Linked DNA regions of Rattus norvegicus. The protein of the gene in region 1 purifies or fractionates together with the protein of each later gene. This does not show direct contact. Links are inferred from orthologs where the notes say so. Each region holds a gene or a part of one and is shown on either strand. Other genes may lie near its edges. The genes, in order: Wdr48 and Ppp1r9b.

The links.
Region 2: the proteins of Wdr48 (region 1) and Ppp1r9b purify together in Homo sapiens (affinity purification with mass spectrometry; 3 studies listed by BioGRID and IntAct, with this or other methods). This does not show direct contact. The link is inferred for Rattus norvegicus from reciprocal best matches to the Homo sapiens genes WDR48 and PPP1R9B.

The regions. Positions count from the first base shown.
Region 1 is NC_086026.1:128,490,981-128,506,260, forward strand, and holds the start of Wdr48 (WD repeat-containing protein 48), read left to right. Parts: upstream 1-8,740; 5' UTR 8,741-8,759; coding exon 8,760-8,807; exon of another isoform or gene 8,808-8,984; intron 8,985-9,032; exon of another isoform or gene 9,033-9,070; coding exon of another isoform or gene 9,071-9,163; intron 9,164-15,280. UniProt on the Homo sapiens protein: Regulator of deubiquitinating complexes, which acts as a strong activator of USP1, USP12 and USP46. Enhances the USP1-mediated deubiquitination of FANCD2; USP1 being almost inactive by itself.
Region 2 is NC_086028.1:80,429,509-80,444,788, reverse strand, and holds the start of Ppp1r9b (neurabin-2), read right to left. Parts: upstream 9,890-15,280; 5' UTR 9,377-9,889; coding exon 8,006-9,376; intron 4,427-8,005; coding exon 4,294-4,426; intron 2,961-4,293; coding exon 2,840-2,960; intron 591-2,839; coding exon 486-590; intron 1-485. UniProt on the Homo sapiens protein: Seems to act as a scaffold protein in multiple signaling pathways. Modulates excitatory synaptic transmission and dendritic spine morphology. Binds to actin filaments (F-actin) and shows cross-linking activity. Binds along the sides of the F-actin.

The DNA.
Region 1 (15,280 bases):
TGTAACTATTTTAGCATCTCCGTTTAATTATAGTATCTGTGTCCAGTCTGGGTTTCAGCTGAATCATTTGTACCCTCACTGTGGATCGTATTTTCCTCACTCTTTATTTGCCTGGCAACTTCACAGAGGCAGGCGGCAGCTGTGGGATGTACTTGAGGGCACGAGACTGAATGCCTCTGTGCTCGGGAACCTCTCTGTGCTCCGGAACCCCTGGGCATTGCTCTGGAACACCTTGGAAACGGCTCTGGTTCCTTTTGGGTCTGGCTTTTCAAGTTGTGTTCCTTTGTTTGCTTTTCTTTTGAGAGAGGGTCATGGGTCCTACCCAGGCTGTCCTTGAAATTACATTGTAGCCAAGGATGACCTTAAACTCCTGATCTTCCAGCCTCTGACTCTACCTGTACCTACCAAGTGTTAGAATTGTAGGTGTGGGAAGCCACACCTGGCTCATTCTCACTCTCACTCTATCTCTGGCTCTCACTCTCACAGTGTGTGTGTGTGTGTGTGTGTGTGTGTGTGTGTGTGTGTGTGTGTATGTGTGAAGGACAGAGGACAACATGTGGCAGTCAGTCCTTTCTGCCATGAGTGTTCCACACATATAGTGGGGGTTGAGAAAGAGGCAAGAGGCAACCTGTAGACGTTGGATCTTTCCCTTTACCTGGTGTGTCTCTTGGGAATCCACCTATTCGTCAGGCCTGGTGTCAAGTGTTCCAACCTGCTGGGCCATCAGGGGCCCCAGATGTGTGGCCTTTTGAAAAGAGGTTCTGGGAATCAAATTCGGATCTTCATGCCTGCAAGGCACTTCCAACTGAGCCATCTCCCCAAATGCTCCTCTCCAGGAGAAGGGGAACAGCTGCAGGTTCCAAATGCTCCTCTCAGTGAGACTTGGCACAGTTGGAGGCTGCCTCTCTCCCTCCCCAGGTACTTCCCACACATTTAGTCTATGGAAAAGCCTCACCAAATGTCTCAGTCAGGGTCTCTATTGCTGTGATGAGTCATCATGAACAAAAAGCATATTGGAGAGGAAAGGGCTTACCTATTTAAACTTCCACAGAGTTGTCCATCATGAAAGAAGTCAGGATAGGAACTCAAACAGGGCAGGAACCTGGAGGCAGGAGCTGATGCAGAGGCCATGGAGGGGTGCTGCTTATTGGCTTGGTTCCCATGGCTTGCTGAGCCTGCTTTCTTAGAGAAATGAGGACCTCCAGCCCACAGATAGCACCACCCACAGTGGGCTGGGCTGGGCCCTCCCACAATGATCTCTAAGAAAATGCCTTAGAATCTGATCTCAAAGACACATTTTCTCAACTGAGTCTCCCTCTTCTCTGATGACTCCATCTTGTATCAAGTTGAAGTAAAACTAGCCAGGATACCAAACCCTTACTCCAAAACTGTGACACACAATCTGTTCCCGGTGAGCTAGTGAAGAAGCACCCAGATTTGGTTAATTTGGATGGGTAGACCCCCAAATGAGGGGTTGGGTCTTGAATGACAGAGAAAGCCAGCTGCAGCGTGCCTGCTGACCCAGTATGTCAGCTGCGCCCTCAGGCTTCCATTGCTGATTTATACACCATGATGGACTGTATCCCTTAAACTGTGAGCCAAAGTGAAGCATTCCAGTCTCTCTTTGTTGCCCTGTCCCAAAACTCTCAAAACTCAGACATCTGCCAGCTTCCTCCTACCAACTGCTGAGATAAAAGGCACACACCACCATGCCCAGGTCCTGTCAGAAGAGTGACTAATCCCACTTCTACCTCAGGTCAAACTGAGGCAGGAGACAGTCCATCCAATACCACTCCCTTCAGAGGGACCGAGGATGCAGGGCAGTAGAACTGGCTGTCTGCATGGATCTTGATGGACCTATCAATCAGTCCTTTAACCTGTCCCCAGGATTTCCTCCAACAAAGTTTCAATAAATACCCTTTCCCACATTAACTGTAAGTACAGCCGGAGGATGAATTGCTAGAGAAGGAACTGCTAAGTTGCTTTCCTGGGCAATTATATTGATTTACCTTCGCACTCCAAGTGTATAAAAAACACTTCAACACGGTGTCTAATGAAACGTTCAGGTCTTTCCCAAGCTGTAGGAGAAAAGTGATGTTCCCTTCAACGTGTATTTTCTGCATTATGAATGAGACTCCGGACATTTCCATAAAATTCCCCCATCTCTTCTCTTCTCCTATCAGATACCTATTTGTACCTTTGCTTGTTTTTTCTATTGTGTTTAACGTGTTCTGTGTTAGCTTGGGACCATTCTTTGTTATTAAAGAAACTGTTTCTTTGTCATGAGGGTATTTTCTCCAAGCCATCCAGGGCAAGCAACCCGAGGCCGCCAAAGCTCAGGTAGCACTGCTCCGTGGGTTCAGGATGTAGCTCCAGATGCTCTGACCTTCCGCTCTTACAGCCCCTCCTCCCTGCACAGGAACCCTGTCCTCACCTTCTCATTCACAGCAGCTCTGCAATGAAGATCTAATTGGTTTGCAGGGGGTGGGGGGGAAGGATGCGTTGGACTGTTGCCATGGAAACTGCCCCTCCCACCACATTTACCATTCAAAGGCTTCTTTGGCATTCATGTACAACAAATTAGCAAAGAGAGATTTCCAGACTTGTGGGCCAGGTTTTGAATGCAGTTTGAAGGTGCTTAGAGGCATAAAGAATGCCTGTGGTTTCTGCTGGGAGATTACTAGGAACAGGATCTATGGAAGGGTGATTTGTTGAGGCATTAGAGTGTCTCAGTCCTGCTTGTAATTTTCCTTCCTTCCTCATCTTCCTGTGATGGCTGTCAATTCACAGAGCATGCTGGTCTCAGACAAAGGTGGAGCAAAAGGCAGGAGCTCCTAAGGACAGGTTCTCCTCTGGACTTCGGTCAAAGCCCAAATCACTGAAGACTTTGCATTAGAAAGTTGGGTGAGGTGGGGAATCAGAAAAGAACTTAGCTCCCATTGGAGGCCAGAAAAGGAGTTAGTGGAAGAAGAGAGGTTCTGATAGAAGTGAAAACCACGACCACCTAAGACCGAATCCAGACTGAGGAGGGGCAGTGCTCTTAGACCATGGGCTCTGGGATTCCCAGCCCTGACGATGCCCTACTCCAGATGGAAGAAAAAGCCACTGACCTGTCACTTTCAAGGGACCACATTTCTGAGACGCTGGGTTCTAAACACTGTTGCTGCGGGATTTCGAGTGCTCCAACTGCGATCCTAAGATTGATGTGTGGCTTATGATTGCCGTAGCCACGGGTCTACAAACTGTGATTGAGCATGAGCTCGCCATCCTTTATTAGGTGGGAGCTCAAAAGTAAAATTAATTAGATTTTTAAAACTTTCTTCTGACTTCTAGATCAGAGGCACGAGTGTGTAGGTCAAAGGATAGCTTGTATGAGTCCCTCCTTTCCTTCCGACATGACTTCCCGTCATCAGGCTTGGTGGCAAGTGCCATCACCTGCTAAGCTATTTTGATGGTCCAGAATTATACTTCACCTGCTTGGACACATTCAAGTATGCGGGGTAAAATTCATACCCAAGACACTTTTTTGTACTAAACTTCAGAAAACCTCAGCCCATTCAAGTCCTGTGTAAAAAACATACTTCCAAAAAAGGAAACATTTGTGGCACAGTTATATTGTTTTCTGTTATATTGGTTACCTGATAAATTATCAAGTTATCCCTCGTGTCCATTGTGACTAGTTTCAAGAGTCTTGGGTATCAAAATTCTGGGGTATTCAAGGGTCTTGTATAAAAGCGTGTGGAATTTCCATGGAACGGATGCACAGCATCTATACATTCTAAACCATCACTAGGTGACTCCTCGAGCATCCTAACAAAATGTAACCGCTTGGTAAAAACTGTTCGCCAGCTGGTGGTGGTACAACGCCTTTAATCCCAGCACATGGGAGGCACATGAGAGTTTGAAGCCAGCCTGGGTGAGTTCCTGGAGAGCCAGGGCTACCCAGAAACGAAACAAACCAGAAACTGGATTAACAAGTAGTTTGGCAGATGAGTAGTCGTCTTTTTTCAAACGCTGTTAATCTGGGGTAGTTTGGATCCACGGCTATGGGACACACTGACCTCACAGACACACAGGGTGTGCTTTACTCTCACACAGCCTGGCACCGTGATTCTATCATTTTCACGGGGAAACATGTTTCTTGTAAAGGTGTCTGGATTGTGACTTTGCATCAGTGGGGAAGTGATTATCGAACGTTCTAAGGGGGGTCACAGCCAGCCAGCGACTTCCCAAATAGGGGCAGTGTAAATGGGTCTCTACTGCCCTCCAGTGGAAGAGCTGGACTGAGCACTTTTAGACCTGAAAATGCTCTGCGCTACTGATGCGCCCACGTAAAGAGGTAGAAGAGGCTGTTTTCTTCCTCAGCGTATTAGAGAGGAACAGCTGCTAAACGCCTCGACTTCTTCGACTTCTTTTCACCTGGAAGAGAAATTTCCAAGAGAGCCTTTACAACAGGTCTCTCTGACAAGATGAAACATCATACAATTTTTGACCTAAACATCTCCAGCATCTTGTTAGACTTTCTGTGTAGGAGAACCAACTGCCCATAGAGATTGCGGTGCTGGGGAACTGCATTTATCAAGTGGGCAAAATAACAATCAGAAAGATGAGATGTATCGCAAGGATGGGGAGATGTCTTGGTGATTAAAAGCTTTTGCTGCTCTTGCAGAGGATCAGGGCTCAGTTCCCAGCACTGATGATAGGCAGCTCGTAACTGCCTGTAACTCCACCTCTAGGAGATCGGGTGTTGTGATAGTGTGAATAAAAATGGCCTCCACAGGCTCATATATTTGAATGCTTAGTCATAGGGAGTGGCAATCTTTAGGAAGGATAGTAGGTGTGGCCTTGCTGGAGGAAGTGTGTCACTGTGAGCGAGCTCTGGGTTTTCCAAAACTCAAGCCAGGCCCAGTGGTTCTCTCTTCCTGCTGCCTGTGTATCTGGATATAAAACTCCCAGCTCCTTCTCCAGCATCATGTCTGCTGGTGTGCCACCACGTTCCTTGCCATGAGGTTAAGGGACCAAACCTCTGAAACTTGAAGCCAGCCCCAATCAGATACTTGCTGTTAGAGTTGCCTTGGTCATAGTGTCTCTTCACAGCAATAGAACACTGAGTAAGACAGGTGGTTTCTTCTGGCATCCTTGGACACACACACACACACACACACACACACGCACACACACACACACATGCATTCATACGTACACACACAAACAAAATAAGTTAAATCAGATTAAAGTGATACCACAAATGTGCCTTTTATGTAGTGTACAGAAGCTGAGCTGGCTGAGGCTTCCACAAATATTGGTCAAAAACCAGATTGTAGTGGGTGTAGATTTTATCACTCAAACTCAGAAACTCTGAAGTCTCCTTTTGGTTCTTTTTTTTTTTTTTTTTTTTTGTTCTTTTTTTCGGAGCTGGGGACCGAACCCAGGGCCTTGCCCTTCCTAGGCAAGCGCTCTACCACTGAGCTAAATCCCCAACCCCCTCCTTTTGGTTCTTATTCCACTACTGAGATTGCTTATACAACCTTGGACTGTATATCACTTTTGCTTTGTTTGGTTTTGTTTTGTTTTTTGATACAGGGTTTCTCTGTATAGATCTGGCTGTCCTGCAACTCACTCTGTAGTCTAGGCTGGCCTCAAACTCAGAGTCCCACCTGCCTCTGCCTCCCGAGTGCTGGGATTAAAGGCCTTGTGCCACCACCTCCCAGCCTGCACATCACTCTCCAGTGGCAGTCACCTTATGGCCTATCATACATCATTGTACCTTACTTACTAGAAGGCTGTGCTATAAGGAAATTATACAGTTTTTTGTTTCTCTGTGAATCTGATAGCCAAGATGAGCTTATACTAAACTATTTGGCTAAATGGGTAGTGAAGTGCTATTCTAAACAAACAAACAAACAAAAAATAACAAAACCCACCAGTGTTAGTGACTTCTCTATTCTGAAAGAAGTTATTTTTGCTTGTGGTTCCAGAGGACTAAGAGCCTGTCGTGGCAGGGATCACGTGATGCATGGTAACAGGTAATGTACAGTCTTTGGCAAGGCCATGCCATTTCCCCTAACAGTGCTCCCAACCAGGACCAAGTATTCAGATGCCTGAGGCTTTGGGGGACACTGCTCATTCAAACCACATCATTTTTTCCTTTTTTTATTTTATGTGTATAGGTATTTTGCCTGCCTATATGTCTGTGAATCACGTATGTGCAGTAGCTGAGCATGTCAGAAGAGGTGTTGGAGCCCCAGGGACTGAAGGTATAGACAGCTGTGAGCTGCCATGAGCATGCTAGGAAGAGGAGCCACTGCTGTTAACCTCTGAGCCATCTCTCCAGCTCCCTAACACGCCATTTTTTAAAATCCAAATTATACAGTAATCGCTAATAGAAATTGGTTACTTTAAACCAAGGTTCTGCATGGTTTTGTGCTTTTCTTTTATTACGTGTTTATTTATTATGAACCTGGGCCTGGAGCATACAAACTAGTTACCACTGAGCTACATCATCAGTCCAATTTCATTTTGAGAGGCAGTAATTTTTATTGTGCATCAAGCATGTTAAGCACCAGATGACCATTTTAATATGGTGCCTTTCGTTTACCCTTCGGCAGTTTCATATGTGTGAACAATATGCCTTGATCGTCTTGATCATAGGCACCCCCAACTCAGCTCTTCTCTTAGCCTAAGGAACCCCTCCTACTCCCTCCAGGAAATCCTACGTCCTACTCCAACTCCTCTAGGAACCCTCGATACATCTTACCCTGCTGTCCTCTCCTTTTCAGTGTTCAGAACTCAGAGTTCATTCAGCGCTGAGGGTTGGAATGTTTACTGGTCTTCTGCAGATAACCACAATGGCAGCGAGTTCCCGGTGCAAAGGCCACATTGTCTAAAAGACAGCATTCCACGGGCGCTGCCCCTCCCCCAGCTCTTACATCCTTTCTACCGTTTTTTTTGGGGGGGGTTGTTGTTTTTTTGTTTGTTTGTTTGTTTTTTGTTTGTTTGTTTGTTTTTAAAGAGTTCCAGGGGCTGGAGAGATGACTCAGTAGTTAAGAGCACTGACTGCTCTTTCAGAGGTCCTGAGTTCAAATCCCAGCAGCCGCATGGTGGCTCACAACCATCTGTAATGAGATCTGGTGCCCTCTTCTGGTGTGTCTGAAGACAGCTGCAGTGTCCTCATATATAATAAATAAATAAATAAATCTAAAAAAAAAAAAGAGTTCCCTGAGCCTTAGGGTGGGGTTGATACAGATGCCTATCTAGGGCTCAGTCTCTTATTCTCTGCATCTTAAGGCTCTGTATCAAATGTTGCTCGATGCAAAACACCTCTGGGCATGGCTGAGGACGGTATGGATTTATGGAAATACACCTAAATTTCTAGAAAGAAGTTTGATAACGTGTATCGAAACAACAGTAATAGGTTCCTCCCTGTGGCCATGATGCCCTGAGCCTTGAGGTTTACAGAGTCAGGTTTATAGTGACAAGCTCCCTCAAGCCCAAAAGTAGTTGGTTGCCCTCATAATCGTCACGCCACTACTACAGCAGTGGGCACATCTTGCCTGGCAGGGCTGTCTGCTGGTGTATCGTGAATACTTACTCTTCCCTAGCAGGCTGCATAGCACCTCCGGCCACTATGAAAGCTGGTCATCAGAGAGAAGTGTTTAGGTCAGTTCCACCTTGATGTCCAGCTACCTAAGTATACAGTGTCTTCAGCCACAGTGTCCTACTACTTAGTTATGGTGGGCAACCAAGAGCAACAGCTATAGCTTGTATTGTTTTAGGGGCAATCATTTTCCATTCATGCCAGTGTATCTATGTTTGAAATTCTGTATTTTAGATTTCTATTTTAACGTGTGTAAGTGTTCTGCCTGCCTGTGTGGGTGTGCTGCCTTCATGCAGTACCTGTGGAGGCCAGAAGGGGGCGTGTGGGCTGGTGTTTTTATAGCAGTTCATGAGTTCCCATGTGGATGCTAAGAACCAAACCCAGGTCCTCTGCAAGTGCTCTGAACTTCTCAGCCACATCTTCAGCCCCTTTGTATTTTTTAATTAGTTTACAAAGGTAGTGGGTTTCCACAGGGGTTATGCTACTTTGGTCATGTTTTTGCCAAACAGATCATTTAAAATATATTGTCTTCTATATATGCTAACATTATCTCACTTAACAGCGTAAGATCCATATTACAGGCACGAGTCTGTAATTCTAGCGCTTGAGAGTCTGGCTAAGATCCTGAGGGGGCTGGAGGACTGGTGAGATGACTCACTGGATAAAGGTGCCTACTGCCAAGCCTAAGTTAGAATCTCAAGGCCCCCATAATAGAAGAAGAGGACTGACTACCAAAAGTTGTTCTCTGACCTCCACAGAGTTTGAGGCCAGCCGAGACTACACAGCGAGACCATGCCTCAAATAACTAAAGAAACAACAATATTTTTATTATTTTAAAAACCTATAAATATGGAGTAAGTTCAGCGGTTAAGCACTGGCTTAAGTGGTTGGAGTATCCCCTCTCTTGAGTGCTTCCCTCTGCATGCAGGAGCTGGGCGGCTCTGAGGTTCAGTCACACTGAGGACGACCAGGACCGGCCCTTCGGCTCCGGCTCCATTAGCGTTACCGCCCGCCCTCTGCTATTTCTCCCCCTGCGTTTCCCCTCGCAACCAGCCCGGAAAGCCTACGCCCAACCTACCTTCTACCCAACCAAAGAATAGGACGGGACATCCGCCGGTGCCGCGACTCTCCCGGAAGTGACGTCGGAGTGTCAACATGCAAGATGGCGGCCCATCACCGGCAGAACACAGCCGGGCGGAGAAAAGTGCAGGTATGGCGGCCCGGCTCCGCGGCCTTGGCGACGCTGCCGTCCGGTCGGGGCTCCCCGCGGGCGGGCGGACGCCTCGGGCCGCGACCGGCGGGGTTCGACGGCCGGAGGATGGCGGGGCGGGGCGCAGCGGCGCGAGGGGTGGGGCCGCGGCGCCAACGGCCTGAGGTGGTGGCGGGCGGACTGGGCGCGCGGGCCTCGCGAGCGGTCGCGGGGAACCGCCGTCCCGGGGAACCGCCGTCGGGCACCGGGCCTGCGGCGGCGCCATGGGCCTACTGCCCGCTCACCTGCCTCTGCTCTCGGCCGCCTTCCTCCGGAACAGCCGCGACCCGGCGGCGGAGGCCGCGCGGCGCCCGCGGGTGGGTGAGGCTGGGAAGCTAGGGGCCTTGCGGGGGCGTGGCGGGGCCGGGTCGCACGTGGGAGCTCTGCGCTGGAGGAAATGACAGTTTCCCTTCCTTTGCAGTAGGCTTTGCCTCCGACCTCCACCGTCCTCACTATGCATTTTCCAGTCTTCCTTTTAAGTCCTAGTCTCCCTAACGTCGGAATCTCCAGTGATGAGTTCGATTACCCACACCATGGGTGCTTTGGGTTTCCCCAAATCACTTTGGTTTGGTGTACATTTTGCTTGCTGCCTTTTGGGATGGGAGTGAAGCTCATTTGGCATTTTTCTTCCAGTCCTGAGCAAGGTTCAAACCTCGTGCACCACATCAAACCAGGCCTCCTTAGTACTGCCTGTACCTCCAGCCCTGGTGTGTGTTTGTGTAGGGAAGCCAGGGAAATCAGAAATCCAAGGTCATCATCCAGTTACCTACCAAGTTTGAGATCAATCAATCTGGGCAACATGAGACACACCACCTCAAGAAAATGCATTCAGTCATTACGTAGACTAAGTGCATAGACTGGCTTCAAAGAGGGGAAGAGGCTGAAAGGGTTTAGCAATCAGTAAACACTCCATAGATTGAGCTCAGTGTTCAGAAGTGAGGGCCAAAGGTGAGTAACCCCAGCATAAGGCTGTAAAGATGTGACATTTTCTGGATAAGTGTCCTCTTTATACTACTGAGCTCTGTTTGTTGGCCCTGTGGACTCACTAGATGGTTGTTTTTTTTTTTTTTTTAAGATTTATTTATTATATGTAAGTACACTGTAGCTGTCTTCAGGCACACCAGAAGACGGCATCAAATCTCATTACAGATGGTTGTGAGCCACCATGTGGTTGCTGGGATTTGAACTCAGGACCTCTGGAGGAGCAGTCAGTGCTCTTAACCGCTGAGCCATCTCTCCAGCCCCTCACTAGATGGTTGTTAAATGTTAAAATTGGACTAGGGAGATGGCACAGTCTGGTAAAAGGCCTGTAGCACAGACATGAGGATCTGAATTTCTGTCCCCACTTAAACATCTCTATCCTCTCACTTGAAAAGAAGTCTGGCATGTTGGTTGGCACTTGGAATCTCAGCTCTAGGGAGGCAGAAGCTGAGTGTCCCTGAAGCTTGATGGCTAGCTAGTCCTGCTGATCAGTAAGCCCCAGGTCCTGTGAAAAAACCAGGTGGAAGGAGAGTGAGCAATGAGGAAACGCAACCAGCTCAACCTCCAGCCTCCACATGCATGTGCACATACGTGTCCTTATGCCCCTGCACGTGTGCACATGCACAAGCACATGCATGTACATGCACACTCAAAAATAATGTTTTAAGGATGAGTGAAGTGACAAGAATCTAAAATTCTTTTAGCTTTCCCTGAGTAGATGCCACTTTTCTTTAAAGGGGCATGATTCCTGATGGCACTGAAATAACCCAGCCTCCAGGCCAGGGGGTATGAACTGAGTCCAACTGAGTTATAACTTTGCCATGTTCCACACATGAGGACGGTGGCTCTTAATAAAGTAAGGATTATCAGTTCTTTCAGTTTGGGGGCAAAGACTTAAAAGACAACGGCTGGCAAGATGACTTGGAGGGGCAAAGTGTTTGCTGCCAAGCCTGAAGACTTGAGTTTGATTCCTGGGACCCACAGAGTCCCTGTGAGAACTAGCTCCAAGTTATCCTTTGGCTCTAGGGGAGTACACCTCAGTGTAGAGCACATGCCTGCCTTTCACAAGGCCCTTGACTTCTGTCCTTAGCATCTTTTTAAAAAAATTTTTAAGACAACACAACAGAGAAAAGTGGAGAAGAAAATGAGTCACAGCAGGTACCAAAACAGAAGTGTTTAAATAGCCAGGTATTGGCCAGGGCTTATGGGGATTATAGCTGGCCAGAGGAGGAAGCTAGAATCTGGTGTTGAGCCCTTTGTTCAACAGCAAGCCAATTGTGATTGGCACGATTTCCTATCAAAAGCCAAAATTAGCCTGCTAAAGAGAACGCTCAGAATTTGTCCACTAGGTACAGTGCAAAGTTAGAAGCCTCCGAGACTGATTGCATCTCCTATTGCACAGAAGGGATGCACGCATGCGGGTTGCAAGAAGAACCCACAAATGGTACCAAACTATAAGTTGTAGTTGTCCTTCACTTTCTCAAGAACAGCAGCGATGTGGAGCGTCCTGTGTCACTTCTCCGCCTGCTCAGTCTTTACTCATTCAGTAGCTTGGTGCTCCTGCAGGAGGTGAGGATCCTGCCCTGTGTGTTTTAAGTTGTTTAAGATCCTCTGACTTCTGCCACTAGATGTAATAGTACCTCCCAAGCTGTAGCAACCAGACCCTCTCCAGATAAAAGTTTCCTTTAAGGGCAGGGTTGAGAGCTGTGCCTGCGCTTTTCCAGTTTGCTACCTGACCTGACTTTCTACAGAGCCATAGCATTTACCACTTTGTATCTTGCTTTGCCAAACTTAGAAGCAGCCCCTTGAGCCCACAGTTCCTTACTATAAAAATGTGTTCTAACCTTTCATGGTAGCATACTCCTTTAATGCCAGCACTCAAGAAGCAAAGGCAGGCCTGATGTACACACTGCGCTCTAGGTCACCTAGGGCTATATATATAGCAAGGCACTTGTCTTTAAAAGAAATTTTCTACAAAGTCACATATATGTCTGTAATCTGTCTCTACTTCTCCAGAGTATTTATGGTAGGAATGTTGCTATTGTGGGAAATAAAATATTAAATACCCATCTTTGGAAATTTCTATGTAGTTGTCAAACAAAATATAATATATTCATGTAGTGGGTTACTTGGCAATAATCCAGCAAGACTAGTTCACAGAAACAAAGTTTAGGTCAGGTTTGTCCTTCAGGTACGTGTTGCTAATCCCTGGTTTAGAAGAAGGCAAACTGTAGTGTATCCTAAGAAGTTAGTGTGTCCTACATGTATGTGATTGTAGACATGGGTATACCACAGCACACATGAGATCAGAATAACCTCTACTGTCCATATTCACTTTGCATCTTGTTTGAGACAGTCATTCACCAGGGCATGAGCTTCCAGGACCTCTGCCATCCCCACCTCCCATCATACTATGTAAGCACTTGGGTTCCAGATGTGTGCTGCTTCAGCTGGTGTTGCATGGTTTCTGTGAATTCTGTCTCCTGCTTGTGCTTAACAGAACAAGTGAAGCTTCTTACCCACAGAGCTGAAATACTGTTTAAGAATCAGCTGACAGGGGGTTGGGGATTTAGCTCAGTGGTAGAGCACTTGCCTAGCAAGCGCCAGGCCCTGGGTTCAGTCCCCAGCTCCGAAAAAAAGAAAAAAAGAAAAAAAAAAAAAGAATCATCTGACAGAGTTACAAACAGAAAGTCATAGCTTATGGATCAGGACAGGAGGGTAGATGTAGGATAATGGTTATATTTGGTTTTCCTGGACTAGATTAGACTAACCTGCCGTCTGGAAGTAGCCTTGTTCAGGAGCTGTATGTCCCTATTAACAGGATATTTTGGTGACAAAATTTGAGTTAGGTTATCTGAGGATAGAATGTGCACATTTGGGAGAGAAAGGAACTTTGTAAGGTATGATGATGTTCTGTCTTTGTAAGGGTTTGTATTGCATGGGTGAACTGATTTGTCATGAGTATCTATGGTGTATTTCACTGTAAATTTTATCTTAAATCAATGTATATAAATAGTAAAGAAACAACTAGACGGTGACACACATGCCTACAAGAGAAGTGTCATTGATGTGTTGCTTGTTTTGAAAGATAAGAGAATAAGATGAATCAAATGAATGAATGGATTCAATAAAGCAAATGTCGACAGTGTAAACTGAAATGTATGTACAATAGGTATGTGCTATCTAATTATATAATTCTTTGAAACAGCAAATAGACTCTAAAGGTTAAAAACTGGTCATAGTCAGCAGTAGAAGACGCAGAAGTGGTGGTACTGGTGGTTGGAGACTAGACTCAGTATGTAGCCCGGTCTGCCTGAGACTCACAGAGACTGACTGGCCTTCCTCTGCCTGCCATGCTGGGCTTGAGGGCCTGTGCCACCTGCTAAGCAGAAGCAAAAGTTCTGTTCTGGGGAGAAGGCCTAGCTTGAGGTGACTGAAAAGGCTTTGGCGACAATCACAAAGCCATCTAGATTGAGAACGTTCCAGTGAGAAGATCTGATGCAAATGTCCTGAGGTGGGAATGAGGCCTGTTTGTGGAGCAGAAAAGAGACTGACTGGGTTTAGGGAAAGAAGTGTAGCCATCAGCTGAGGTGAGAAGACTACACAGGAAACATGGGGGTCATTGGTTTTGGAGGTGCTCTTATTCTGGTGTCTTTTAGATACCCAGATAGAAATGAATTAGTGTTCAGCCTTGAAGAACTGAGTTTGCCCTGTGTTCCCTTTGTGATGTTAGAATGCTTTGGAGTTTCTCTTGGGAGTGTGGGGAACACTTCAAAAAGAGCTTGTAGGACTTTGTTCACTCCTTCCTCCATGTAGGTCGTCAGGTTTGGTACCACGCACCTCTACGCATCAGCCCACCCCCTTCCCTCTTTTGTTTGCCTTGTTTTTTAAAATTCAGTCTCTCTACACACCCTGTCTTAGAGCTCACTGTAGACCAAGCTGGCCTACAAATCCTCCTGCCCCTGTCCCCCAAGAGCTAGGTATAAAGGCATGCACCACCTTGTCTAGTCCTCTCTTTTGTATAAAATACCCAAGGCCATTTCTTTTCTTTTCTTTTTTTTTTTTGGTTCTTTTTTTCGGAGCTGGGGACCGAACCCAGGGCCTTGCGCTTCCTAGGCAAGCGCTCTACCACTGAGCTAAATCCCCAGCCCCCCCAAGGCCATTTCTATATGAAAATTATTTTGTTGTTGTGGTGTGCAGAAGGGGCTGCCATGGGAAAAGTCTGGGAAAGAAAGCCGGCAGCTAGGCTGAAGAGATGGCGCTGCCATCAAGAGCACTGACTGCTCTTCCAGAGGACCTGAGTTCAATTCCCAGCAACCACACGGTGGCTCCCAGCCATCTGTGATGGGATCCCATGCCCTCTTCTGGCAGTTGTTGGGAGCAAGAATGGAAGGAGGTCTGACTGACAGGCAGGCAGTTGTGAAAGGAGGGCTACAGGGCCGCAGCCACAGCAGCCGCCGTGAGTGGGGAAGCATGCTCTTCCCTAGTCTCTACTAAAGAATACCAACCTGGCGACTGGCCGGCCAGAGCCTGTGAGACCCTTGGCAGAGGGTACCCCAGAGCCCAGCCTGGACTCCAGCCTTACACGGGAAAGTAGAGAATGCCTTAGGCAGTTACACGTGCAGCCATTTGTAATGACTGTGATGGAAGCCCTGCCTCGTTCCCTTGAACAGGATGGTACCGAGACGAAGTTTGGTTAGGAAAGCCATTACTTCATATGCAAACCACGAAAGGAATTTTAAGTGATCAGAGAAAGAAATGTCTCTCTCTGATTGTCTGCAGTGACTACCAGTGACCCTGAGGACATTTAGGTTCCAGATGCTGAAGGAGGGTCTGTCTCTCCCACAGAACTGAGTCAGATAGGGCTTGCACTGGGGCTTGTCGGTGGGGGCTACCCTGTTATTTTTCTCCTGTCTGAGTCCCTTTAGTTGGCTCTTTTCAAAAGTGGTTTCGTACTAACAGCCTGGCTTCCTGTTACCTTACAAAGCTCACATTGTGCCTGCCCCTTTTTGCAGGCGGTTGAGTGTAGTCCTAGGAGTTCTCAACTCTGCCTTCCAACTGTCACAATGAAATTATAAGGAAGTAACTGTTCACTTAGATGCTTCTGCCCATGTTTCTCTTGGCTTGCCATTCCTTCCAGTTAACCTCTTGCCCTAGAACACTACCCCAGGAGGACTTCTTTGCTCCACCCACAATCCTTTACATTTAAAACTGTACCTGGCAGCTGGTGGGTACTTAGTAATTGTTTAGAGTATTAAATCCCAGGACTGGAAGATGGCTCAGCAGTTAAGCACATAGTGCTCTTGCAGAAGACTCCACTTGGTTCCTAGGACCCATGTCAGGTGGTTCACAACCACCTGTAACTCCCAGCTTCTGGCAGCCTCTTCTAGCCTCAATAGGCAGTTCATCACATGCACAAATGCATATATATATATATATATATATATATATAT
Region 2 (15,280 bases), on another chromosome or scaffold:
GTCAGGAAGGGGCAGGATGATGGCAACTGCAGATTAGCATGGGGAGGAAACAGTGGGACTTCCAGGCATCAGCTCCTCCTCCCCCAGCCACCCACATCCTGTTTCCCTCCAACACCCTTTCCTGGGGGCAGTGCCCCTCTACAAGTGGGGCAGGGAGCGGTCCCCAAGGTGAGCTGCCAGAGGTGTACACAGACTTCAACTCCACTCAGTGGAGCAGCCTTGCCAACAGGACATGGGGTGGGCCTGAGATGAAGCTCTAGGTGGGAGAAGCTGGTTTGGTTTTCAGGAGGTGAGCTAGAGACAGAAGCAGGGAAGGAGAATAAACCAAGAGGAGAACATGGAGGACACGAGCCCGGAAACCTGAGTCCTAGTGGTGAACGGCACAGCCAGGGATCCGGGGATGGGAAGGCAGGCCTGGCAGGGGCGCAGGCACAGGTCCCCGGGTGGGGACCTGGTGCCTAGAGGACTAGCTGTCTGACTCTCACCGCACTCTGCCTTTGGTGTTCCTAAGCACAGAGGCTGCAAAGCTCTGGGTCACTCCCACCAGGCTCGTCCCGTCCACCTCTACCAGGAGATCGTTCACTTGGATCCTAGGGAAAGAAAGGGACATTTGGTTATGGGGCCATGAGAGGAGCAGGAGCTGGGTTAAAAGGTGGGCTCTTCCCAGTGGAGACTCAAGGCTCACACAAGGTTCCCAGAAAAAGGTAAGTGAGAACAACACAGATGCAGTCATCCACGACCAGGAAAGGTGGCAGGTATACTTCCTGTAACAACCATACTCTTGTCTGCAGTCCTACTCCACAGGGTGATGCGACAGGCTCAGAGCTCATTTTTACCCATGATGTATGCCACCACCCCAGTGTCCCCCACCCCCAAAACACCTTGGACCCAAGCATGTTCCTCTCCTGCTCACACACCAATCCACATCCGCAGAGTTGCACACCCCAGCACAATCTAGCTGTGGGAGCATCCTGGACCCCTTCCACAGGAGCGGAAGATGGGGTGGTAGCCTAGTCTGTGAGGGGAGGGGAGGTGGGGGAACTTTTTGGTACCTTCTCCCTCAACTTCCACCTCCTGGGAGGTTTTGAGCTTCTCAGGGCTTCAAGTGGAAACAGAGAGAATGCCCGAGACATTTTTCTCCCTTACGGGCCACATTCTCATGTGGGCGCTAGCCCATGATGCTCACATACCTGCTTTTCTAGCAAACAGGCGACAGTGGCCAAGCTCTGGAGAGGGAGAGAAGTGCCAGGAAGGGTGCCATCCTTTCTGTTCCCACTGCTTTCATGCCACCTACGCCACTGCAGGCAAAAGCCCTCTGAACTGGGCACCTATGCCTCTAACATGAGCCTATAGTAACCCAGCCCTCACCACTCACCCCTGTCATGTGGATGGGGTGTGGGTGTCAAACCTTCACAGCTTTCCTGAGGGAAAGCCTTACAGCAGTTCCTACTTCCTCCCTAGCAACACACACAACAGAAAATCTGGCAGAGAGGAGGAGCCTGGGTGCCAGAGCTCTGGTGCCCTTCGAGAGCCTTCTGACTTACGGAACCCCAGGCCTCTGGCCAGAGATGTTCCACACAGGTGCACACCTATGCAACCTCGGCTCCAGAACACGGCTGCAACTATCTGTTCCTATCTGTTCCTGGATCCCTGGCTATCTACACTCCTGCCCCAGTGGTTTCTACTTGGAACCCCTTCCATTCAGGCTGGGGACATAGGGCTCAGTTGAAGTGCTAGCATTCCATTCCTGTGTTCACAAGGAACCTTTTATCTTTATTTATCCATTTATTTTGTTTTGTTTTGTTTTTTCCAAAACAGGATCTCATTATGTAGTCCTGGCTATCTGGGCATTCATTATGTAGACCACGCTGTCCTCAAGCTCAGAGATCTGCCTACCTCTGCCTCCCCAATGCTGGGATTAAAGGTTTAAGCCACTACACTTGGCTACAAGGAACCTTTTATATACATTTGGCCTTGCTAGTTCCTGCCTGGTCTTTAGCTCTTTTCAGTATCACTTCCTCCAAGAAGCCCACCCTAGAGAGGCCAGGACCTCCTGCTTCCTTGTTTCTTTGTTTTGGTTTGTCTGTTTGTTTGTTTTTTGAGATAGGGTTTCTCTGTGTAACAGCCCTGGCTGTCCTGGAACTCTCTTTGTAGACCAGGCTGGTCTCGAATTCACAGAAATTCGCCTGCCTCTGCTTCCGAAGTGCTGGTATTAAAGCCGTGCATCACCACTCCTGGCTAGGCCCTCCTACTTTGGGCCTACATATATTCCTCCCCATTCATCCAGTTTGTTTGTTCTGTCTGGTATCTGCCTACTTTACTCCACTGCTTGTTTTCCGAGGGTCAGGCCCCCTACACTGACTGCCAGGGCCTGGCACCAACCCAGCGAGAGTCAGGCCCTCGTATTTGTTAAGGGAAAGAAATGTGGAAAAAGCCTTATTCCAGACACGCAGTCCATGTTCTTCCTACTAGGGCCAACACACACCCTAAGCCAGTACACACCGTGCTAGGTGTGCTAGGCACAGCTGAGCTTCACACCCCTCCCCCACAGAACGTGTGGGGCCCTGGGGAGGGCTTCCATCTGTTCCCGGCTGTCACCCCAAAGCCTGGCACAGCACCTGCACAGCGGTGCTCTGTGAACATCCAAAGACACACACATACACACACACACACACACACACACACACACACACACACACACACACACACACACACACACACACAAAATCACACACAGGCCTCCCAGAGGCTGCTGCCCTCCGACCCCAGATGATGACTTCTAAAACAGACTTGGGAAGGAATTGGAAAGAGGGGGAAGGGAATGGAAGGAGGGTAGTACCTGCCATCCCGATGGGCTGCACCACCCTCAGTCACAGTCTTGACGAAGATGCCCAGCTTCTCCAGGCCCATGTCGGCTCCGGCTCCCATGCCAATGATGCTGATGCCCAGGCCCTCAGAGTCTGTGACACAGAAGGGGAGAAGCCATGGCTGGCAGGGACTCTTTACACTATACCCACTCCTTTGTATAAGCAGTCCCCAGGCATAGGAGACATCTCACGATGGAAAAGAACTATGGTTAGACCCACCTCCCTTTTGCTAACTCATGGGTTACTTCCTGCCCTATGCCCTATCCAACGAGCTGACAGGCAGCAGGGTGTGTGAGGGTAGCTGGGGTGTGGCAGGCCTTTGTGCATACAGATAAGACTGTGTGGCTGGGATGGGGACTGAGCCAGGACTTAGCCCTGAGCCTTTTGGTCTCTTCAATTATTCTCCTCTAAGCCCAGAACTCCGCTGACCAAACATGGATACCCAGTACCTAGCTGCACCTGCACTGCCTGTCCCATGGACTTCCAGCATTCATACATAGGATTGTCCCCACGAACACTCCCTGAGGACAGGCACTAGATGCCAGGCCTGGGAGCATTCAGATTCCTCTCTCTTAGCTCCGGGCTCCGCTAAGTCAAGTGACCACCAGGCTTGTTCCTGCCTGGTGCATCCACTTTCACTAAGCAACTGCTGACCTGCTATGGGAGACCGTCATTCACTGTGACCCTCCCTGGACCCATGCCACAGTGATCTTTCTTTTCTTTTTTCCCTTTCTTCTTTTGCTTTTCTTTCTCTACCCACCCCCAAGACAGGGTTTTTCTATATAGCCTTGGCTGCTCTGGAACTCACTCTGTAGGACCAGTTTGACCTAGAACTCAAGAAATCCATCTGCCTGCCTCTGCCTCCCAGAGGCATGTGCCACCACTGCCTGGACACTGTGAACTTTCTAGAATAGCTTTCCCCGTCCCTACCACAGCTCCCAATCCCTCTCAGAAATGGCCATGCTCTCGCCATGGCCCATGCCACCCCGGCCACGTGCTCATCCTACGCTGAGTGTACCTCTCTGTTCAACCCCACTTTCCACAGGGCTTCTCTTTAAAGCTAAGCTCTGAAGAGCTCACTTTAGAGCGTACTTCCTTGGTGAGGCTCTATCAAACATGGTCTCTCTTTCCTCCCGGCACATATGACGGCACGTAAGGCTGAAGTTAGAGGAGCCGTCTGGCCGGGAGCCTGCTTTTATCTGTCTCCGTGCCTCCAACAGCGCCCAGGATCACCTACACAGTACTTAGGAGATGTACACCAAGTAATACATTGGAGACACCAGTGACTATTGGTGCTGACATGGGATGCCGAGAAAGTCAAGCAGGTGCTGGGGCTAAGCAGCCTAACACGTGGCAGGGGTGGCAGGACAGAGGGTAGCACCACAGAAGATCCCAGCGTATGCCTTAGGTTGGCCTGGTCTCTCACCCTTCTCCAACTCCACAGGAAACAGCTCCAACCTCTCCACTCGCTTCTCCAGCTCGTATTCCGCAGAGGCCGCCATGGGGTCCACATCCTCATTGCGTCGGTCATAGTCCTCATTGGAGTAGGTGCTGAATACCTGGGGAGGAGCAGCTCTCAGAGGGCCACAGAGAATGCACTGGCAGGAGAAGGCCCTTGGGCCAGCTGACTTGCCTGAAGCCCCATGCCATTTCTTCCAGAGGCCCTTCCTTGACACTGACCTCACAACGAATCCAGTTCTCAGCAAAGGGCTTCCTAATTCTAGAGCCCAGGGTCCAGAGAGTGAAAGATCTGTTCCATATGGTCTAGTCTGGGTAGGACCGGACGGACACTCTAGGGGAGACTGCAAGGTCTGGGAATCTCCAATACCAGGGCAGGGGGAAAGGAAGAGACAAGACCCGAGAGCCAGACAGCTGAGGGTGGACACAAAGACACAGATGAGGAACAGGCTGAGCAGAAGACAGGAAGAGAGGAGGGGGAGAAGGATGGAGAAGACACTGGAGGATGCCAGATGGGGAGGGGGAGGGGAGAAAGAGGCAAGGAGCAAAGAGGGAAAGGCACCGGGACCCTTCCCCGCCCAGCTGCTGAAGTGGAGGCCAAGAGGGCCAGGGAGGAAGCAGAGAACCTCCTTTTACTTCCATGGAGAAGGGAAGGCCATTAATCCCCAGGTAGGCCTCAGAGAGCAAGAGTGGGGGAGAAAGAGGAGCCCCTATGGCCCTCCCACACACCATAACTATGCCCCTGAAGAACAATACCCCTATCTGCAGGTACCAGAAGAGCCAGGCAGAGGCCCCAAGACTGGGACCTTAAAGGAACCAAGGATCATGTGCAGTGGCAGCCTGTCTGTCTTGTACAGCGTTCCCTGTGCCCCTCTGCTATCTCTCTCCTTCTAGGTGTCTACCTCTGACTTCTTCATAGGATCAGTGAAAAGGAGACAGGGCTCTGTGGGTCCCTGATGCTCGTTTGAGGAACCGTGATGGGTTTTGTTTTTGTTTTGGCTTTACTGCTAGCCGTGACATTGTTGGCATCGCTCGAAGTCAAGTGGGGGGCAGGAGAGGTGGAGGCAGCACTTATCAGCCAGAAAGATTGGAGGAAGACACTGTCTCCAGCAAGATCTGTGCCAGGCCCTCCTCTGCTCTAGGAGCACGCTCGTGGGCACCCTGTAGGCAGGGTTACTCCTTTGTTGGGGCTTACTGAATGTCATCCAAACCTCCAGTCTCATCCCAGAGGTCCACTGCCACGGCAGGAGGTCGAGAGAGAGGATACTTCTAGGACCAGCCAGTAGCACAGCTGGGGTGGTCATGCTCACCCAGCTAAAGCCCTTGACACTACTGATCGGACACTCGGATCAGTCCTTTCGTGTTCATCCAGTGGCCAACGGACTGTTCCCCAGCATCTGGCCAGCGGTCCCAGCCTTGAAGGAACAGACTCTCTAGTCCACATATAATCTATTACCCAAGGTCACAGAGGTTGCTTACCCAGTAGCAGGACAGCACCAGACTCTAGATGGGCTGTACTTAGCCCGTCACAAGTGACTCAGTTCCCTATTGCAAAGGTATCCCAAGCTTTAGGATAAAGAATGGCATAAGTCTGGGTCAGCAAACTGGCCTTGTCCCATCTCTTCATCTGAGGCCTCTGGCCTTTACCCTGTGCCCAGAGACAGTATCCTCCAGCCTCAACCCATCTCCACTGGCCTGATCTGGGCCTTGTCTTCTGTCCCCAACCTGTTCACCTTTTGTATCCTGCCCACTGTGGGAAGCCCAGGCAGGCCTCAGGCTCAGAGGCCTAGGACCACCAGTCACTCCTCCTATCAGAAGGCCCTGGGTTCAGCGATCTCCTCGGCTGACAGGTTGGAATCATATCCTCTGCCCTGAGCAGATACTCCGACCTCCATAATGGTGACAACTGGGTCAGGGACGGGCAGAGAACCCTGGCTTCAGAATCAGGGTGGAGGTGGCAGAGGAGAAAAAAAGCCTACGGCCCTGGCCAGGCTGAGGAGGACGAAAGCCCCAGTAAGGCCAAGAGTCAGACACGTGGAGCCTCTGCACTGCCTTGGCTCTCACGCCAGTGGCCGGCTTGCTTCGGAGTCACCAGGGAGTCCAGAGCACTGCTCCAAATCATATGCTATTTTTTACCAAAAAATCAGGGTAAGGCGTCAGATATAGACAGAGGCCCAGACCACATTCCCTTTCTATGAGGGCATGGGGCTGCTCAAAAACCCCACGGGGATGGGGCAGCTACCTCTAACACCTTCCCAACAGCCTCTACTCCTTCCTGGATCCCACTGCCTCCACAGGGAACAGGGCATGGAAGAGTCTTCCAAACCCCTGGGCAGGGAGGGGCGAGAGGCTGGCCACCCTTAACCTTCTGGACCTCTCTCTGCTGGCCTGGGGGGCTGAGGGGGGAGAGGGAAGAGGTGGAGAGTGAGAGAAACTTGGGTAGCTTTGGTGTCCAGGGGTAGCTATGGAAACTGCAAGCAAACACATGGGGTTTGGCCTCAGAGGGCAAGGAGGAGCAGGGTCTAGGCCAAGGAAAGTACTTGGTGCTGTTATACTCCTGCTGGGGCAGGCCAGGTGCTAGGCTCAGTAGAGCTTGGGTAGGGAAGAAAAGACCATGAAATCTGGATGTGCCAGCTGGGCTCACAGAGCAGTGGGAAATGGGAGTGGTCTCCTGGTTTTAATTCTCCCCAGGGGACATCTTTTCTCTACCACCACTACTCAGAGGATCTCAAAGCACTGACAGGCACAGTTCACAAACCAATCAGCAATAGCGGTGTAAGAAAAAGCGCAGAAGGGGGGGGGGAGAGCAGCTGAACTCCCTTCCCCACAAAGCAAGCCCCCAGCCTCTTTAAAAGAGTAAATAGAAAATACAGAAAGAGAGAGGAGTCCCAAGGCTATAGGCATGAAAAGTCTGCCAGGTGCCCTAGGGGAACTTCAGACTCACCACCCTCTTCCTGTAGGGCCTGCTCCTTCAAGGACTACAGAAGATGCCCCTTTCCTGTGCAACCTTGGATATGGGGAGCTGGCCCTGCACAGACCCTAAGGTGCAGCGTCTTTCCCTCAGGCCCAGTCACATGGCAGTGGACCAACTCATCCCTGCTTCCTTCTCTCACTTCTGCAAAGTTGGAGTGGGGGTACAGGAGGGGAAAAAGGGCGGCCTTCCCTTGTATTTTTGTTTTGGGAAGTTCCTAGCTCCCCTCTCTCTCACCCCAGACAGAGCCAGTCTCACACATGGAGAAGCAGGAAGTGCCCCTAAGCTCCCCCACTTTCTCTTCCTGACAGCAGGGTTTGTATAGGAACAGTATCCCGAAGACACGTCCCGTCCCACACCCCTTCAGGATAGCCAAGTCCCAGCTTCTGGCAGCTTCTAGAAGAAAGAATGTCTGGGGGGGGGGAGGAAGAGAGAGCAGGTGTCCCAGGGCAGGGAGGGATGCTGGGCGGGGCTAGGAACCTGAGGGCAGGTCGCAGCAGGCCACCTTCACAATCACAGACCTGAAAACCTTCCCACTCTGACAAACAGCTGGAAGTTCCCCCACGCCTCCCTCACTGTGGGAACTTCTGGGAACCCGGCTGGGTGGCAGGGGCTGACTCAGCCTGCCAAACACGGATGTCTGGGTGGGAGCAACCACATGCACGTGGCAAGGGCAGCTGGGGGGGGGGCATCCAAGGGGACCACTCACTTGGATCGGTGCGGTGCTGAAATGGATCTTCCGGCTCGGGGCTGGGTCCTCTTCCTCTGAAAGCCCAGGAATCTCCACACACCCTGATTCCGGCTCGTAGGGGGGCTCCCCGTCCTCTTCATCTTCTTCATCGTCCTCTTCCAGGGCACTGCCCCCAGAGTCCTCCCCGAGTCCACTGTAGGCGCTCACGTCTACCAAGTCCGCTTCTGAGAAGTCCTCCTTTTTGGATTCATCCACCTCCTCGGGTGCCATGTCCGGGGCCCGGCCATTGTCCACCCCCCTCTCTAGTGTCGCCACTGACGACGACGCCTCCTCTTCGGGGACCGCTTCGGCCTTGGGTTCCTCGGGTGCAGGGCTGGCTGTGGTGGCTGTGGTGCTGCCATTCTCCAAGGCTGCATGGACGGTCACCTCGGCCTGGATCACTTCCCCGGGAGCCGACTCAGCCTCAGACTCCCCACTTTCCTCAACCTCCACCGGTTTGATCTTGCGTACCTCCCGCGGCTTTGGCGGAGGTCGGGCAGGGGCCACTCGGTGCTGTGGGGGCTGCTGCCCTCCGGGGCCACGATCCTTCTCTGTCGCGGCATCCCCCGACGGGGCGGGAGGCGGCGGCGGTGGCTGGAACACCCGGGACCGCTTGGTGACCAGCTTCGAGTTGACCTGGGGCGCCCCCGCGGCCCGAGGGGGACCGGGTGCACGGTGAAGGCCGGTCCTCGAGTCGGCTTTCTCGAAGACCGCACTGAGCTGGCTGACCGTCGGCGACACGGCGTCAGCATCCAGCTTGTCCAGCGCCTCGGTGCTGCCGTTAAAGCGCACCACGACGTCCAGCTTCCGGTCCTGCAGGCTGGCGCGCTCCTGCCTCAGCAGCCGCCGCGCCACGGCCTCCTTGTCGCCACCCGAGGCCGCGGGGACGCTCCGTTCGAACAGCTTCCGCGTCTCCTGCAGCCGGGACGGCGGGTGCGGCGGCGGAGCGGGCTGCGCCGAGGGCGCGGGCTTGGAGTCGAAACGGCTCACGCGCTCCGACACACTGGTGCCCAGCTTGAGCAGGGCACTGTGGTCCACGTTCTCGTTCAGGCTGCTGGCCCGCGGCAGGGAAAGGCGCACGCCGCGATCGGACGCCCGTGGGGCTTCGGCCATGCCTGAGGCGCCGCCTGCCTCACCCGGCGGCCCCGTGGTGGTGCCCATCTGCAGGAACATACTTTTGATGCGGTGGACGTTGGAGCCATATTTCTTATGGTGGGCCGCCTTGGGTGCCTCGTCAGGCCCGGGAGCATCGGGAGGCTTTAGTGCCTGGATGCCCGCTTCGTAGGCGCTGCGGTGCGGGGAGGCGCTCCGGAGGGGACCCCCGGGCCCCCGAGGCTCCGTCTTCATCATGGTTGGGGGAGCCGGGTTCGCATCCCCCTGCTCCCCGCTGTCCCCCTCCAGCAGGCGGCTGGCCAAGTCGGGACCACCGCCCCCTCCCCCCAAAGAAAGAAATCCCGAAAGGCCTTCTATAGAGTCCCCCAGAAATCAAGCTGCCAAAAAACAGTTAACCCTGCTTTAAAAAAAAAAAATCTCCGAGCGCCCTGTGTGGGTCGCCTCCCCCAACCAAGCTGCCAAAGACAGCCAGCCCCCTTCCAAAGATCTAGCGGCCTGGTGCGTTCGCCCCCACCCAAATTAAAGAAGCGGAGGCTGGCTGGAGCCGCTGGGACCGCGCGCCCAGCCCGCGAAGCAGCGGCCGCGGCACCGGCTCACATCCTCCGAGGCGGTGTCAGCGGCGCTGGCGGCGCAGGCGCCCCCTACTCCGGCCGGGGGCCTTGGCTCTCGGGATGCCCGGCATCCCCGCGCCCGTGGCTGCTCCGCTAACCCGGGCCGCTCCGCCGCACCTCCCTCCCTCCCTCCCTCCCCCCCGCGCCCCGAGCCTCGGTCTTTCTCTAGCTCTGCCCGAACCGCGGCTGCCGGAGACCGAGCGGCTGCCCTTCTCGCCGCCGCCGCTGGGGGACTGGTACCACTGGGTCCTAAAGGGATCGGATTTCCGGGGCCGGAGCCTGTGAGCCCTCCCCTTCCACCCTGTCGCCTGGTCTCTCCTACTCATAGTTGGCGGACAGCCTTCCGCAGCTTCTCGGACCTTGGCTATTCTTCTTCAACCCTCCCACCCCAAACTCGGCGGCTTTTCACAACCCACATAGGCGTCCCCTCATTTAACCCTGGGGGCGGGGAGCCATCTAGCCACAGCAGTCTGGGAGCTGGTCTTCTCCTCCCACAAAGTGAAGGGGTTTTTGAGGAGGGCCCTTAATCATTTTCTTAAAGGTCCTTAGAGTGTTCAGGGCTACCAGCATCAAAACTGTTGGGTGCTAGGTCAAAGCACATATTTCTAACTCCTTCCCAAAGTTGGTGAAGGGGGATCTCCGGGGCAAGACCTGGGATTCTTCATTTTAACAACTCCCCATAGACATTTTTTTGCACCTTTCAGGACGTAAAACTTTGGCCCAGCAATCTTGTGGTGCTCTGTGGGGAGGAGAAATGAAAGGGATGGAGTGGGGGTAGGGGCTACATCACCCAAATGTCAGGAGATAACCAAAGCTGCTTTTTGCCTTTGGAAGTCTTAAGATGTTGTTCTAAACCTGCCCACTTGGGGAAGGGTGTAGAATCCTGGCCTTCAAACCTTCCTCTCAAACAGATTTGGAAGGTGTTGCAGGAGGTTGGAAGGAATGATTCTAGAGGCCTAGGGTCAAAGTTTCTCTACTCAGAGTTCTACGTTGGGTCTCGGATTTAGAGGTTCTGGTCACTTGTGTGCAAGTGTGTTTGTGTGTGTGTGTGTGTGTGTGTGTGTGTGTGTGTGTGTGTCTGGGAGCTGGTCTTCTCCTCCCACAAAGTGAAGGGGTTTTGTGGGGAGGGCCCTTAATCATCTTCTTAAAGGTCCTTAGAGTGTTTAGGGCTACCAGCATCAAAACTGTTGGGTGCTAGGTCAAAGCACATATTTCTAACTACTTCCCAAAGTTGGTGAAGGGGAATCTCCGGGGCAAAAATTCCATCTTTAAAACTCAGTTTCTTAACGGGGTTGGGGATTTAGCTCAGTGGTAGAGCGCTTGCCTAGCAAGCGCAAGGCCCTGGGTTCGGTCCCCAGCTCCGAAAAAAAAGAAAAAAAAAAAAAGCAGCAACAACAACAACAACAAAAAAAACAAAACAAAACTCAGTTTCTTTAGAGCTTTTTCATTCCTCACATACACAACAAGAGGCCTTGTGCCCTTGATCCTTCTCCAATAATCTGGAACCTAGCAGTGAGGATCCATCCAATATTCAGGTCTAGTTGTGTAGCTCCAGTCAGTCGGTAGATTCCCAGGAACTGAACAGGGTGGACACTAGGACCCAGAAAACAACTCAGGCACAAAGCTTCCCCCCCCTCGCCCCAGCTGCTTCCTGCATCTCAGGCCTTCCTGCGGCCTCTGCCTCCTCCCCCGCCCTCTTCCCCTCCATCCTCTTCCTCCTCTTCCCGTTTTCTCCCTCTCTCCGGTTGGCCTGGCCGTGCTCATGGAGGGAACCTCTTACCCTTCCGTTCACCGTGTGTGGGTTTTGTGGGACACTAACCCATAGCACGTGCGAAAGAGCTCCCTGCATGGGGGATGGGACTTGGGGAAACCGCCTGGGAACCCTGAAGATTGGGATGGGGAGGAGCCAAGAACCTCTGGACTGGCTCCCTAGTGCAGTGTGCCAGGAGAGGGAAGATTTTTGGCTCTCATCTGGAGCCGGAGATGAACACAGATCTCAGGCTTTCAGATGCCCCTACATTTTTGCCCAGTGGGCAGGAGACTTATATCCCTCCCCAGTTCTGCATTTGGGGATCTGTGCAGGGTAAAGAAGCCATCCAGGTGCCTTCTCACCTTCTGACCCATCTTAGAAGCCAAGCCCTCTTCCTGAACAAGCTTTAGGACTTCAAATTCAATTCTGGGGCCTGAGCCCTCCACCCTAACCCGACTATGGCAGTTGGTTGGTTGCTTGTGTTTTGAGAATGGATCTGCAGTATCCTGTGCTGGTTTCGAACTAAACATTTAGCCAAGGATGACCTTGAACTTTTCTGATTCAACTGCCGCCACCTCCTGAGTGCTGGAATTACAGGCTTGAGCAATTGCTCTAACCCAGGGCTTCCTGCTTGCTAGGCAAGCATTTTAGCAACTGTGTTACATCCCGGGCCCCCACTGTGGTGGTTGGGCGATGCCCTTGCCCTTCTGCTCACCCCGTTGCCAGTTGGGGATCTGAGCGGGTGTTCTTAGAGTTCCCTGGTGGACTGGAGGAGGGCCCAAGGCCCTGGGTGTTCTGCCCAGAATCTCCCACACCCTTTGTGGTGAGTCATTTTTAACTGGCCCTAGCCCAAGGGGTCTGTACTCACTCCTGGCCAGGTGGGAGGAGGGGTTGAGAACCAGCTGTTAGCCCCTTTCCCAACACCCTTGGCAGAAATTTAGGAGGAACTGGATTCATGGTTACCCTTAGCTCTCCCTTGTGCACGGATTTGTCAGAGTAAAACTCCTTTAAGGACTTTGGGGATGTGAGAAAGTACGGTGAGCTTGGAGCTTGGGCGACTGCCGCTAATGAGTAAAGATTATTATTTCATGGGCTCCTAGATGGCTGAGCAACACCCAGGCTGGAATTTCTGAAGAGGCTTTAAGGGAGTGAGAGGTAACTGTGTTACCATCACTCTTTCCTTGGAGGCAGATACTATACAATCTGCCTAAGAGATGGGTGGGGCCCCGGGGTGTCACCTCCATCCTGCCCCTGCCTGTCTGAGGTAAACTTTCATTCCTCAGGCTGTAATGTTCACAGATTCTCGCCTGTTTAGCATCCCAGGATAATTTGAAACTTTTGGTTTCCCCGGGGCTCACGTGGAGGAAACCGCTGATACCATGGCCAATGTTCCTGGTGGTCTTGGGATGGAAGTTTCCTCCGTTCCTCTGTCCTGTATAGAGAGGGGAGTGGAGCAGTTCCCAAAGTCGAGCCAGGATCCAGGCTCCCCCCCCCCTTTTTTTTTCTTTTTTTTCAGAGCTGGGGACCGAACCCAGGGCCTTGCGCTTGCTAGGCAAGTGCTCTACCGCTGAGCTAAGTCCCCAACCAGGATCCAGGCTTTAGGTCTTGGCTATACCACTTATTGTCTAGTTGACCTTGCAGAAGTCACGTTTCTCCTCCCTGCTCCCAGGGGATAAACTGAGGCCTGGGAGATGCCAGCAGCCCGATGTATAGAGGAGAAGCCTCCCCAGCAGTGGCTAAGTGATAGAAACGGCAACAGGCAGTGATAACCCTTCCTCTCTCCTGGCCCGAATGAACGTCCTTGTTTCTCATGAGGGCCCTCTCCGAAGGTGCTCTTTGATGATATGCCTGGAGGCTTGCTGGCTTTAAGTGCCAGGTGTAACAAACAGCAAAGATGGTGATGAAGGCGGGTGGAGAGAGTCTGATGTGTGATAAGTCTCAGCCTTCAGCGCCCTGGGCTCAGGCATGGGCTGGGTGCCAAGGCTGGCTGCTCTTCCCAGCCCTGGGCCTTTCAGACAACTTCTGAAAGCAGTTTTTGTTTGTTTGTTTGTTTCCTGGCCACTGTCATCCGTGAAGAAGCTGATCTAGACCCTGCCCTTTGGCTGCTCTATGGTTAGTCAATAACGTTCACCCCAGTTCCTCTCCTTTGTTGGCTGGGGCCTTGAGCGAGTTCTGGGATCCAAGGAGGATATGCTTGTGTACTCACATTACCAAATAGGAGAGCTCACCCAGCATGGCAGTGGCTGGGTAGGGTAGTGGTGAGGAGTTAGAGTCCTACAGGGTTCCAACTCCCTGGGAACAGGAAGGAGAGAGCAATGGGTCATACAGTTTAGAGTCCCGGTTAGGATTCTGCAGGTCTGAATTGAATCCTAGCTCCTCCCGTTTGCTTAGTGACCTTAGGCTAGTTATTTTGGGTTTCTCAGTTCCTAACATGCTCAAACCTGAATGTCTGACATCTTCCGACCATGGGTGACCCAGGGTGTCTCCTACTTCCTGTGAGGCACAGGCTGGAACATGGCTTTGAAATCAGACCGCATTTGTTAGAACACCCCCAAGCTGCCACTTCTAAGCTCAAGGCCTTTGCCAGATCTCTTCATAATTTGTAAGCCGGAGACAAAATACCAACCTCAAGGAGTTGCCGAGGGCACTAAAGAGATCCTGAATGCAGAAAGCACAGAGGCTGGAGTTCCGAGTGTGGGCTGCCACTGCCATGGAAGGCACGTGTATTGGAGCATGGATTTGGGTGTGCATGCAAAAGTGTGGGCAGGTATGAGGCTGAGAATGAGCTCCGGTGTCTACAGCGCCTGAGTCTATTTTCATGAGACATTGGGCCTCTGCCTTTCAAGATCCATTATGTGAAATTCTTCTCTATTCCTGCCCATGGCTTCTCCAAACCCTTCTGAATTGTTTCTTGATATCCAGATAGAACCCAGGGCCTCAAGCATGCTAGGAAAATGTTACAAATCGTAACTACACCCCTGCCCCGAGATAATTTTTGAAGGTGACCTTTCTTCTAAACTTCCCAATGGGTCTTTTATTCCTGAAGTCGATCACTGCACCTGCAGAGAGAGGAACTGTGGGTCCCTTCTTTCCACAGCTGGGGGATAGCTACTGCCTGTTCTTTTTTTTCTTTCTTTCTTCTTCTTCTTCTTTCTTTTTTTCTTTCTGGCTACTGGCTTTCTTCCCATCAGTCTCACACTGTACTCTAGCACCCTGTGTAACCTTGTAAAGATCACATGTTTCTTGGAGACTAGGGAGGCATGGGTCTGGTGTGCGTGGGGGGGACGGGGTGTTGGTGGGGGTACGGGGTGTTGGTGGGGGGAGGGGGTGGGACACAGCAAAGATACCTCCAAATCCTCAGGTGCTTTAAAGGAAAGCTTGTATTTAGCTGGCTCAGCTGTAACTATGTATTCTGCTAGGTTGTAGTTGTAGCCATTGGAGCTCTGCAGACATGCACAGAGGTCAAAGGGGAAGAAAGAAGGAACAGGAAAGATTAGGCAATGCGTTATGTCATCAGCAAATCCAAGGAGCTCCGACTGCTAAGAACTCACATTTCTGTGGTTGGTTTGTTTGTTTGTTTTTTGTTTTTTGTTTTTTTGTTTTTTGATGGCCAACTGTTTTTTTCATCTGCTTTCTGGACTGTGTGCAAGGAAGAGACAACTTTCAGAGTCACTTTCTCCCATAGGCCTTTGCTGGCCATGTCCCGCCTGACTGGCTCTACCAGGCTCTGCTGGGTCCCGTGGGACCTAGCACTGGCTCAGTCTCCAGAATGCTGCTTCT